2 linked regions of the Daphnia pulex genome follow. The protein of the gene in region 1 interacts with the protein of each later gene in a pairwise test. Links are inferred from orthologs where the notes say so. Each region holds a gene or a part of one and is shown in the gene's direction. Other genes may lie near its edges. The genes, in order: transcription initiation factor TFIID subunit 1-like and transcription initiation factor TFIID subunit 4-like.

The links.
Region 2: the proteins of transcription initiation factor TFIID subunit 1-like (region 1) and transcription initiation factor TFIID subunit 4-like interact in binary tests that used the Drosophila melanogaster proteins (3 or more experiments, as listed by UniProt). The link is inferred for Daphnia pulex from reciprocal best matches to the Drosophila melanogaster genes Taf1 and Taf4.

The regions. Positions count from the first base shown.
Region 1 is NC_060026.1:11,815,758-11,822,226, reverse strand, and holds the start of transcription initiation factor TFIID subunit 1-like, read left to right. Parts: upstream 1-2,123; 5' UTR 2,124-2,264; coding exon 2,265-3,168; intron 3,169-3,227; coding exon 3,228-4,025; intron 4,026-4,090; coding exon 4,091-4,466; intron 4,467-4,527; coding exon 4,528-4,831; intron 4,832-4,899; coding exon 4,900-5,057; intron 5,058-5,133; coding exon 5,134-6,376; intron 6,377-6,438; coding exon 6,439-6,469. Other genes in the region: ADP,ATP carrier protein 1-like, read right to left, coding at 1-220, 289-550, 940-1,105. UniProt on the Drosophila melanogaster protein: TFIID is a multimeric protein complex that plays a central role in mediating promoter responses to various activators and repressors. Largest component and core scaffold of the complex.
Region 2 is NC_060026.1:12,792,716-12,799,301, reverse strand, and holds the start of transcription initiation factor TFIID subunit 4-like, read left to right. Parts: upstream 1-2,466; 5' UTR 2,467-2,473; coding exon 2,474-2,906; intron 2,907-2,997; coding exon 2,998-3,551; intron 3,552-3,607; coding exon 3,608-4,027; intron 4,028-4,091; coding exon 4,092-4,301; intron 4,302-4,385; coding exon 4,386-5,235; intron 5,236-5,303; coding exon 5,304-5,617; intron 5,618-5,697; coding exon 5,698-5,820; intron 5,821-5,884; coding exon 5,885-5,998; 3' UTR 5,999-6,586. Other genes in the region: metaxin-2-like, read left to right, coding at 1,043-1,088, 1,151-1,278, 1,338-1,454, 1,509-1,601, 1,674-1,838, 1,897-1,973, 2,037-2,229. UniProt on the Drosophila melanogaster protein: TFIID is a multimeric protein complex that plays a central role in mediating promoter responses to various activators and repressors.

The DNA.
Region 1 (6,469 bases):
CTTGATCAAGAGTGGAGTTTTCTTGGGGTCGGGCAACATGCCACTGGCAGAATCGTAGAGACCGAAGTAGGCAGCACGGTAGATGATGATGCCCTGCACGGAGACGTTGAATCCACGGTACAGACCAACAATACCGTCAGTCTTGACGGTCTTGGTTAGGCAGTTAACCAAACCACTGTACTCGCGCTCGGCAGCTCCTTTGCCGACATCAGCACCCAAACTAGTCAATAAAGCAATTAGTTAGCATATTTTGTACTTTTAGTTTTTACGTATGATTCTGTATAATACCGGGTACGGGCGAAGTCCAAGGGGTAGACGAAGCAAAGAGAGGTAGCTCCTGCAGCACCACCAGATGCCAAGTTAGCGGCAAACCAGGCCCAGAACTGGGTCTTCTTGTCAACTCCCTTCATGAAGATGTTCTTGTAGACATCCTTGAAGGCAAAGTTGAGGGCCTGAGTGGGGAAGTAACGGATAACATTGGCAAGGTTACCACGCCAGAAGGCTGTCATGCCCTGTTCTTTGGGGATACGGACAAAGGCATCCACAATACCTGGAAAAAGAAACATAAATTATTGTAAAAACCCAGTTCACACAAGATATAGATACTAGGTGTTGACCCAATTATGAGTCTCATGTAAAACTCATATATGGTTACTTTCACAATCCAAAATCTTATCTTTTCAAGTCACACACATTCAATTCCAGAACTAGCAAAAACTGGTTTACATGATCAAAAGCCCATGAGGCGAACGAACATACTAGCTGAGCATACAAGAACAATGTAAAAATATCTTTTAAACTTTGCGAGAAAAACTTAAGGATTTTTTGTGATCCAACATGGCGCCGTGCCGGCGTGAGCCGGTTCGGAACCAACGGTAGAATATCTCTCCCGATTAAGTAACTAGAGAAGGGGGGGGGGAGGGGATTCAGCCATCTTACCCTTGTACTGCTTGTCGGCCGTGATCTGTTTGGAGGCATGTTGAACCTGAAGGAGCAGCTTAACTCGTTCAATTGGGGCGACGGCCGTCTTGGAAACGGCAGCCGAAACACCACCAGCGATAAAGTCCTTGGCAAAGGACAGAGGATCAGCGGTTTTACCAGACATTTTCAGTGGTTTTTTTCAACAAGCAGAAACGATGGGAGAGCCGGGCAGATTGTGCACGTGTTGAGACTTCGAGCACGAAAGGGAAGAGTACGAGTCTGGTCTCTGAGTTTCTACCTTCGGTCTTTTAACAATTCAGTGGTGCCCTCTAAGGTGCCTTGGTTACGGCCACAATTCAAAGGCCTGTCAACTCGATTGAGATTGCGCATTTAATCAAGTTTCCAGTCATGACCGCTAGGTCGGAATTGATCATAATTTACAATATCATTTCTTCACTTCTTGAACCTTAATTGACCATTTCTCTGCCTTAATAATAATGTGCTATTTTCAAGAGAATTTTACAAATGTAATTTTTCAGTTATTTGCAGTTTTTAATTAAAATTGAATGTAGTTTTGTGCAACGCCACCTGTGATCAATTCACTTCAGTTAGCTTATATGAAAGGCCTTCGCCAATCTACTGGGACTTCGATTTTTCTAAGGACCAATCCAAAAATCCGTTAGTAACGGATTTTACAAGTGCCTTAGGCATTTTCACGTGACGGGGATAGGAAAATGCCGCCCTTTTGGCGCCTTTTACTTTTTTTATGTTAGAAGATTATCAAATAGGGGGAGGAATCCCCATTGGGGTGTACTTCGACCCTAATGACCCTATATGAACCCGATTGATGTAATCAAGAATTATGTAATTATCTCATCTCATCGATATTGCGAAATGAATGAATTCCCGAAAATGCATAAAATGAATTCAGTTGTAAAGGGTAAAAAAATCTGGATGAAACCAAAAATGGAAAGTTTGATGGATAGTTGCCAACTCGACTGGGCCGTATAACCTACATATTTCTCTATGGAATGACGTCATCTGAATTCACACGGAATCTTGTCACGTAGTTTGGCCAGTTATTTCTCTTAATTATTTATGTAAACAATTCAATGATCTTTTCTGGAATTATTTAGTCATTTAACAATTCTTAAATAAAATAATCAAGTTGAAATTGAGTTGAAACTAAACCTGGCAACGCTGTTCATATTTACCATCAAGACAATTTTCGGCTTCCCGTCAGCCTGTTTGTGTTGATTTGATGACCGAAAAAAAGTAAAACTAAATTTGTGTTTGTTATGATTGCGTGATTCTTCTAAAGCTAGGATTTTAAAACATCCAAAATGCCAAGCAGTGATGAAGAAAACGAAAATCACAGTAGTGATGATGATGGAGATTTGAGTAATAGCCCCGATAATAATGATGACGATTCGCAATCATCTCAAGAAGACGGAGGTGGAGGAGGTAGAAGAACATCAGGATTAAACCTTACTGGGTTCCTCTTTGGTAATATTGACAAAGAGGGTAAACTTGAAGCAGATATCCTTGATGAGGAATCTAAACGTCAGCTGGGCACCCTTGGACGATTTGGCTTGATGTCAATACTTCAAAATGTCATTAGAGAAGACGATTCTGTAAGCAAAGATCAAAGTACAGATTCTGAAGATGATGGAGCAAAATCTCCAACTGCTGAAGACTATTCTGACATCAACGAACTGGCAGAAGACGAAGGAGGACCATATCTTGATGACTCAATCCTCATGCCACCACCACCTACACCAACATCCAAGAGCCTTTCGGCAAGTGAGGCAAAGAAACGATTGGAAACGCCTTTGGCAGCCATGCTTCCTTCCAAATACGCTAACATAGATGTGAGAGAGCTATTCCCAGACTTTCGGCCTGACAAAGTCTTGTGCTTTTCCAGACTCTTTGGGCCTGGAAAACCCAGTAGTCTTCCTCAAATCTGGAGAGGTGTAAAGAAGAAGAGAAAGAAGAAGAAATCTCCAGATTCAGAAGACTATGTTGAAGAGGAAATTGAACATGTAGAAATCACTTTCAAATTCGGCCCACCTCCTCCTCCGGAAAAATGCAGACCAGATGACGAAGAACGTTTCTTAAAGCCTCTAGAAGATCCTAATGCTCTCAATAATATCAAGAACTCTGATGATGACAAAGGACCCAATGTAGCGGATTGGAGGTTTGGGCCGGCTCAGCTTTGGTATGACATCCTTGGAGTTCCAGAATCAGGTATAACAATTAATTAATTATTTATTTGAACTTGATTAACGTTTCCTTGCTTTTTATAGGAGAAGAGTTTGATTACGGTTTCAAAGTGAAACGGAAAGATCCTAATAATGTTGACGAAGATGGCAAAGACCTGCCCGGGTTCAAATTTCCAGACGAGGCCTTTCACATGATCACGCAGTTAAATTGGGAAGACGACGTGGTCTGGAATGGCGACGATATCAAGCACAAAGTAATGCAAAAATTGAATGCAAAAGGTGGCTTAGCCTCAGGATGGCTCCCGACGGCTACCAATCGCTTGGCTACACAGAAAGCCACCCCTGCTGCCACTCCAGCCACCGGTAAAGCAGCAACTCCTGGAGCTAAAGGTGGCGCAAAATCGGCTGCAAACAAACCCGGAGGAGCGGCCGCAGCAGCCGCTGCCGCCGCCGCTGCGGCTGCTGCTGCTGCAGCCGTCGAAGAGGCAGCCGACGACGTTTGGCATTCGATTTTCCCAGTCGAAAACGACGAGTTGGTGTTTGGCCAGTGGGAAGATGACATCATCTGGGACAGCGAAAACATGAAGGAGATGCCCAAACCCAAGATATTGACACTAGACACTAACGATGAAAACGTCATTTTGACCATTCCTGATGACATTGATCCTGCCACAAAACAAGCATACGTTCAACAGCCTGTCAAAGTCAAGATTCCTCATCCTCACGTCCGAAAATCCAAGTTACTCTTGGGAAAAGCCGGTGTCATTAACGTATTGGAAGACGATTCACCTCCTCCACCGTCGGAAAATAACGATAAAGATCCTTACAATATCTCCAATGACGAATATTATGCAGCCAAAGCGACCGAGGCGGCTATCAAAGGTAAATTAATCCATCACAACTAAATTTTAAAAACTTAATTAATTGGAATTTATGGAATATTACAGTCAGCACGGGTGGAAATATCATTCAACATTCAACGCCCGTGGTGGAACTCCAGGCACCTTTCATTCCCACGCACCTGTCGATAATGAAACTGCGCAGTTTCCATCGACCACCGCTCAAACGCTACTCCCATGGACCGTTATCGACACCTGGCCCTCATCCTGTCCACCCGCTCCTACGCCACATCAGAAAAATGGCCAAACAGCGTGAACTCGAGCGAATGGCTGCCGGTGGTGGTGATATCTTTTTCATGCGAACACCGGATGATCTCAGCGGTAAAGATGGTGATCTCATTCTCCTGGAATACTGCGAAGAACACCCGCCGTTAATCAGTCAAGTGGGCATGTCCTCCAGGCTGAAAAATTATTACAAACGGAAGTGAGTTTTCATTTTTAAAACGGAATTTGATCGAGAGACTTAAATTTAATTTATTTCACAGGGCTGTCAAAGACACAGGGCCGCCTCAATACAAATACGGTGAAACAGCTTACGCTCACACCTCACCGTTTTTGGGTACCCTCCATCCGGGCCAGTCCATCCAGGCTATTGAAAACAACATGTACCGTGCACCAATCTACGAACATCAATTGCCGTCGACGGATTTCCTAGTAATTCGAACGCGGACAACGTACCATGTCCGTGAAGTCGATGCATTCTACACTGTCGGTCAGGAATGTCCACTGTACGAAGTGCCCGGTCCGAATTCTAAAAGAGCCAACAACTTTACCCGCGATTTCCTACAAGTATTCAACTAAAGTCATTCTAATAGTCTTCTATGAAACATCCAAACAAAATGTTTATTTTAATTCAGGTCTTTATCTACCGACTGTTTTGGAAGAGCCCCGACACTCCACGTCGTATCCGCATGGATGACATTAAACGAGCTTTCCCAGCACATTCCGAAAGCAGTATCCGCAAACGGTTGAAACTATGCGCGGACTTTAAGCGAACAGGAGTCGACTCCAATTGGTATTTCGTAGTATAATAATTCATACTCCAACGGATGTCCAAATTGCTCATTTTTGGTTACCGACAAATTCAACAGGTGGGTATTGCGGCCGGATTTCCGGTTACCTTCGGAAGAAGAGCTTCGAGCGTTAGTGTCGCCGGAGCAATGTTGCGCCTATTTCAGTATGATCGCGGCCGAACAGCGTTTGAAAGACGCCGGTTACGGTGAGAAATTCCTTTTCGCACCTGAGCAGGATGACGACGAAGACCAGCAACTGAAAATGGACGACGAAGTCAAAGTAGCCCCATGGAACACCACCCGCGCCTACGTCCAGGCCATGAAAAACAAATGTCTCCTGCAATTAACAGGTCCGGCAGATCCTACCGGTTGTGGCGAAGGTTTCTCCTACGTCCGCGTTCCCAACAAACCGACCATCAACAAGGAAGAGCTGGAATCTCAACCTAAACGTATTGTGACGGGCACCGACGCCGATTTGCGTCGATTGTCACTCAACAACGCAAAAGCAATTTTGAGGAAACACGGCGTACCTGAGGAGGAAATCAAGAAACTCTCCCGCTGGGAAGTTATTGACGTCGTCCGAACACTTTCCACCGAAAAGGCCAAGGCCGGCGAGGAAGGCATGGACAAATTCTCCCGTGGTAATCGCTTCTCCATTGCCGAGCATCAGGAGCGATACAAGGAGGAGTGTCAACGCATTTTTGATCTTCAAAACCGAGTCCTGGCCTCGAACGAAGTTTTGTCCACCGACGAAGGCGAAAGCGAAGAGGAGGAAGACATTTCTGATATCGAAGAAATGGGTAAAAACATTGAAAACATGCTGGCCAATAAAAAGACGTCCAGCCAGTTGAGCCGAGAGCGGGAAGAACAGGAGCGTCGTGAATTGCAAAAGATGATCCTCGGCGAAGGATCGGGCTCCATGAAGAAAGATAAGAGCCGTGTAGGACTGGACGAAGAAGACAGTTCATCTCAACCGCCGCTGGCAGGAGCCGGACAGGCCGGTCGAGTGCTCAAAATTTTCCGGACCTTCAAAAACGCCGAGGGCAAAGACTACACCCGCGTTGAATTGGTTCGCAAACCGGCCATCATCGACACTTACGTCCGAATACGAACGACCAAAGATGACGCCTTCATCAAACAGTTTGCCACGCCCGACGAGCACCAAAAGGAGGAAATGAAACGTGAGAAACGTCGAATCCAGGAGCAACTCAGACGACTCAAACGCAATCAAGAAAAAGAGAAATTAGGCATCGTTAACAATCGCCGTCGTAAAGTCAAGATGAAGCCCGATTTGAAAATGAAATGCGGTGCCTGCGGACAGGTAACTTTCCTTGTAATTAACGGCCTTGTTTCTGTTTATTAATTATGCTAATGTATCGATAGGTGGGTCACATGAGGACCAATAAAGCTTGCC
Region 2 (6,586 bases), about 980 kb from region 1:
TGTCTGGGCTACGATGGGACGGCGATGACAAGGTCTGTTGACACAAGGACGTCAGATAGCACCAAACAACGCGATTCCTTGAATTTCTAATACAACAAACAAATGAAAAAGTCTCGAAATGGACCCTCAACGAAGATCTTCGTCATTGTCTCGTGGAAAAAGTCGGCAGAGCTCCCGGAAAACGTTTCGCATATCATTAATAATAAATCCCCGAATAGTTTGCCTTATTCGAAGGCTAAATATAGCTTGAAATTTCACTACAAAAAAGCGGTCAATGAAAAACTTGTGAATAACTTGATGTTGCGACCACTTTCGGCATCCTGGAAACAAGATACTGAATTGTTACGGTTTTTTTTAGCATCAATTGGTATCAATTACCATCACGAGAAAATAACGCGCACTTCGACAAATAATAGAACTTGGGTCAGAAATCAAGTTTTTTAAAGGTAAAAATCAGGAGCAGTAAATTAAAAACAGATTTCAAAACACACAAAAACAGGTCGGTCCTAGAGGGAAATTTACGCTTGCAAAAAGGGAACTGATTATTATGTGGAGCACGACGACGTGTTCTAGCGACATTCGCATTTCGCGGTACGATGTGGCAAGTACATTTCGTAGAAATGCATTTAGAAGGGCGTTGAAAAGCAGAAAGTTACGTTACAGGTGAACATTTAACTATATTTAATATAAAAAACAAATTGGTAGAAATATTTATTAATTAATACATTCTCTATCAACCTGTATTTTCACAGCAAAACATTTTGAATTTTGAATACGTTTGATTACAAATATAATTATGATTTATGATGCAATAATTATTTCAATGACAAATTTTTACTACAATTCTTAAATATCTAGTTACTAGTTGGTCAGTAAATTAAGCTTATTAGAAAAATCCAATTTTGAAATTTATTTTGGGTTCATCATTTTTGCGTAATTTGGCAACTCTGAATAAAAACCGCAGCAGCCGATCTAAAAATAATTCCGTATTGATGTTGTGATTTTCTTATTTTAGCCGATAAAAGTTTAATTCATTACGATAATGCCATCAGTTTTACTAACAGACTCTATTTCATTAGAGCTTGGAGGTAATCATTTTGGATATTTTATATTTTCACATTTATTTCTCACTTTTAAAAAAACCTAATAGCTTTGGAACCTTGGCCTTCTGACGTCAAACTTTATCAGCCCTATGAAGTTGAACAAATTCTATTGCAAGATCAAGCCAATTCTTTGGCTGTCCAAGTTTTTCTGCGAATGTGTGGTTTAGAATTTCAGGTAAATTGGAAAACTAAAACTAAGGAAATCTTAAGTTATTGATTTATTTCTTTTCTTAGGTGGAAATGAGAAGCAATGCTGAGCATATGTCACCATCCGGAAAATTGCCTTTCATAAAATGTGGTGCCTTTGTAGTAGCTGATCTTGACCCTGTTGTCAGTTTTGTGAGCAACAAGGTATTTTCAATATTTTCTCTACAATCCCATTTTATGACGTGTTTTTTTTTGTAGGGTATAAATCTTACAGATCACTTGGATGCTGCTCAAAAAGCAGACATGAGAGCTTACATGTCTTTAGCAAACAATATATTGGGAAATGCAGAGGTATTATATTATTATATTTGTAACTACTTTTGTGTGTTATGTGATTGATGAGCAGTGTTTGTTCCTACTTAGTTATATATCAGCTGGTGTGATGAAACTGTTTTGAATGAAGTAACTGGTCCTCGTTATGGCTCTGTCTATTCTTGGCCTTTGAACACTCTGCTAACCTGGAGAAAACAGAAACAAGTAACTAAGAAATTAACTGCTCTTGGCTGGATTACCAAAACACTTGATGAGGTGATTTGTTTGGTCTAATAGTTTTTGCATTAGAAAATTATTTATTATTTTCCTGCAGGTATATGAAGATGTTGATCATTGCTGTAATGCGCTAAGTGAGCGATTAGGAAACCACCTTTATTTCTTTAATGATAGGTATTAAATTTTTTAAAATGGGTTTCTAATAAAATAAGTGCTGACTTTGTTCCTCGTCATTAGATGCACGGAATTAGATGCGGTTGTCTTTGGCCATGTGTTTACTTTGCTGACCACACCGTTGCCCGACAATAGATTAGCATCCATTGTGCGATCCTACCCGAATCTGGTCGAGGCTTGCCAGTTCCTTGAGAAGACTTACTTCCAGAAACCAACCGCCAAGACAACGGACGATGACAGCGATAATTTTGACTAAGTTCAAATAGTATAGGAAAAGTTGTAAAGTTTATAATAGCCCCATACTTCTGAGATTTACACGCTATTATATTTCATTGATATGATATCCTTTAGAGTAAGCACACACGCGGTTATTAAATACAAGAGTAGAAAATTCAAAAAAATATAGTAAAGGGTTTGAAAAATGAACACTAGGTGGTTTGACTATGCTAGGGGAGGAGTGACACGTTTCAACGTTTTGCCGCTAGGGCAGAGGTTGGGAAATGAGCTGCTTACAGTCAGTTTGGGAACCGGGTTCGGAGCAGAAAATGGCGTCTAGCTTCCTGGACGATTTAATCTCGAACCCGTCAGCGGATGCCGACGCTGTCTCCGCGTTAGTTGGATCACTTGAGAGCCAGTTGAGTAATGCAAATGTTGGTGCTAGTAATAACACACAAGGCGGCGGCTTGGCTTTTACGACAAGCTCTACCTCGTCGGTTCCTCCACCGCTGCAGCCTGCCAATACCCCGTCCGCTGCCACCACAACGGCAACATTCGCGGGAAACGGCAGTAGCCTGCACGCAACAACAACTTGCGCGCCAGCAGCATCAGTTCCGATCGGATCGGCGCTGTCAACGGTCCCTTCTTCAGTCTCTTCTATTCATTTACCAAACACCACCACCGTCCATTCAATACTTCCCAATGGCAATCCCAGTGGTAACACGACAATGTTATTTTTTCATGAACGAAACTGTATTGGACTTGGATTATGAGCTGATAACTGATTGTACTTCTTTCGTTCCTATAGGTATGGTCAACATCCAACAATTTGCAGGAGGTGCTATTGGTCTACCAAATGGCACAGTGGTCACAAGCTCAGGGAACGTTAACACAACACTGTCTGGTATGGTGATCCATCAGCAACAACAGAAGATGGTAGCGTCAACAGCTACTTCTCAGCAACCTACGATGATCATTCCGACTAAAGTTAACCAAACAGTAGCTTCAACAACAGTGATGGGACAGCAACAGCATCATCAACAACAACAACAACAAACTGTGCTGAACACTAATGGAACAGTCACCCTGAATTCATCTCAAGTGTTAAGACAGGGGACCCAAGTGGTTCAACAGCAGCAGCAGACGACCGTGATAAATAGTGCGGGGACAGGAATTCTTCCTGCGGGTGTGCAAGTAGTGAACATGAATGCTATGAGGCCGCAAAACGTACAAAACCTACAAAATATGGCCGCCTTGAACAATCCAGCTCATCGGACGCTTGCTCCTCGTGTGATGTTGGCACCTCAACAGATGGTTGGTGCTCGACCTGGACAAATGGGAATTACTTTACAAGCCTTACAAGTAACGTATCGATTAATAATATAAATCCCCGTGCTGATTGATTCTCTAATTAAAAGGGTTTCCAGGCTGCGGGAGCTCAGGGTCACTTGCTCGTCAAAACCGAAACGGGACAGTATCAGCTCTTACGTGTCGGTCCCGGTCCTGTAGCCGGCACGACAGTTGGGTCACAAGTTGTAACTTCAAACATTCCCTCGTTGCAAAATGTGGCCCAACAGCAGCAGCAACAACAACAACAACCTCAACAACAGCAGCAACAACAAAATATTCAACAATTAACAACGACTTCGAACGCTGTGCCCACGATGAATCAAAACGTTGGGGCTACTTATCGTTTGCAAGTCCCCGTGTCCACAACTATTCAACCTGTGTCCGCTACGACTGCGGCACCTGTTGGTGGGAGTGTGTCTGTTACCCCTACGAACACTTCGGCTCCCACCGCAGCCCCAGCATCAAATCCAGCCAGTAATTCTGGACAGGTGAATACAAACAAGTTCGATGTTTAATAGGATGGCTATTAAAACTTATCATATCCACTTACAGATGACCCCCGACACGGCCAAAGTCAAGTGCAAAAACTTTTTGTCCACTCTGCTACGTCTAGCGAGTGAACAGCCGGAATCTGTGGCCACTAACGTTCAAATGCTCATTCAGGGTTTAGTTGATGCGAAGGTTGAACCAGAGGAGTTTACAACGAAGCTCCAAAGAGAACTCAACTCCTCTCCTCAGCCTTGCCTCATTCCATTTCTCAAGGTATTGTAAAGTTGATCCTACCACTCGACTGTACGTTGTTTGTATTTGTTCTTTATATTGGATTCTTGTTATTTGGTTTCACAGAAAAGCTTGCCCTACTTGAGACAATCCCTAGCTTTACGAGAGTTGCATATTGATGGAATCCGACCGCCAGCCTTAACTACGGTCAACGCTCCGCAGCCCATGGTTATACAACAACAACATCCTCAACAACAGAGTGTTGTCAACCGAGTGAACGCCGGGCCAACGCAGATACAAACTGTACGGCCAATGGGTGGGCAAGTTCGACTCCAAACACCTACAATGGTTGGCGCCTCTGCTGGCACTCTACCCGCTCCACGGCCACCTAGACCAGCAGCCAATAAAGCCACTCCAAAGGCCAAAGCAGCCCAGCAGGCACCTAAAGTGACTGCCACGACAACGGCGGCCGCTGCCTCGACCACAATGACGGCTGTTTCTACTATCAAGACGGAGCCTTCCATTACTTCCGAGTCCCCAGCGCCAATCGCTTTTACCATCCACCTGCCACAAGTCGGAGGAGTAACATCAGCGCCGACTGCCATAACGCCGGGTCCTACACCTTTGGTCACGGTAGCATCGACGTCTTCGGTTCCGACGTCTAGTACGGCAACAAAGCCAACGACTTCGGCGGCAACAGTTTCCGTTGGTCCGGGTGGTATCAAAGGTCCTCTACCTGTACCAACTGGGCCCAAAGACGCTTCGAAGGAGAAAAAAGCTTTTACGTTTGGTTCGTCTCTAGCTGGTCTAGCGGACAACGACATCAACGATGTAGCGGCTATGGGTGGAGTTAACTTGGCAGAAGAATCGCAGCGTATTCTTGGCTCCACCGATATGATTGGTACTCAAATTCGATCCTGCAAAGACGAAAATTTCCTTTTCACCGGTCCCTTGCAGAGGAGAATCCAACAAATTGGTATTGACATCTGTTTTCTTGTTAGAGAAATCGACAAAGCTAATGATTTTATTACGTTTGTTTTTTAGCCTCCAGGAACGGTCTAGGAGATCCTAGTCCGGAAGTAGTTTCGCTTATATCACATGCCACTCAAGAACGATTGAAAACATTGTTGGAAAAGCTTGCCGTCACCGCCGAGCATCGAATGGAAGTTGTCAAAACAGACGCTCGTTACGAAGTCCAACAGGATGTCAAGGGTCAGCTAAAATTCCTCGAGGAACTGGACAAGTTGGAGCGACGAAGGCATAGCGAGATTCAACGCGAAATGCTTTTGAAAGCAGCAAAATCACGTTCGAAAGCTGAAGATCCTGAACAGGCAAAGTTGAAAGCAAAAGCAAAGGAGGTACGTGATAAAATATCTCGTTATAACTGTCACCTTCAAATTCAATGTTGTTAAACTTTGAAAAATTTATTAATTGACAGATGCAACGAGCGGAAATGGAGGAACTGAGACAACGCGAGGCCAACATGACAGCCTTGCAAGCTATTGGTATAAGGAAAAAGCCCAAACTCGACCTGGCTGGTACTACCGGCTCTTACAACCAGGTAAAATCGAACTTTATATTGCATTAAAAGAATTCAATTTTTACCGTTCCAATATTTGTTTTAGGTGCCTTTACGACCGCGTGTCAAGCGCGTAAATCTTCGGGATTTACTGTTCCTGCTAAAAGAAGAGAAAGGAACTATAAGATCCCCTCTGTTGTATAAAGCTTATCTCAAGTAGTCTTCTTTTGTCTCCCTCATCTCTTAAAAAAACACACACACACGTAAGCGTTAAGTTGTTTGCCCATCAACATGCCTGTGAGAGGTGCACATAAGGTTTCCCTATGGGAGTAAAAAAATGAAGCGTTTTATTGGAGGGGAAAACAAGCCTCTGTCCGTCACACCGACACTCTTTATGTTAATTAAGAGCAACGTTATGCAACCATGTCCTTGTTCTCTTCTCCTCCTTCTCCTCCTCGCGACATATGTCCCCCGCCCATCTTCTGTTGTACATACTGTTGATTTATTTGTGCGGGGGGCGGCGTGAAAATGTTCTTTTCTCTCTATTTCAATCTATCTATCTCTCTGAAATGATTATGTCTTTTGTATAATGTATCAGTGTGTGGATGGTTATGACGAAATCATGGAATGCTTTATAATGACGCCACATTTCAATCTTGTATCAACTTAAGAGATTCAATTGGAATTGGGACCTGGTGGACGTTCACCTTCCCATTCCTGAATCTCCTTTTTAATTCAAATGTTCATTTTTCTTCCCATCGCATTCGAATGCAGTGCGTACGTGATGTCGGACCAAAACAAGAGAGGC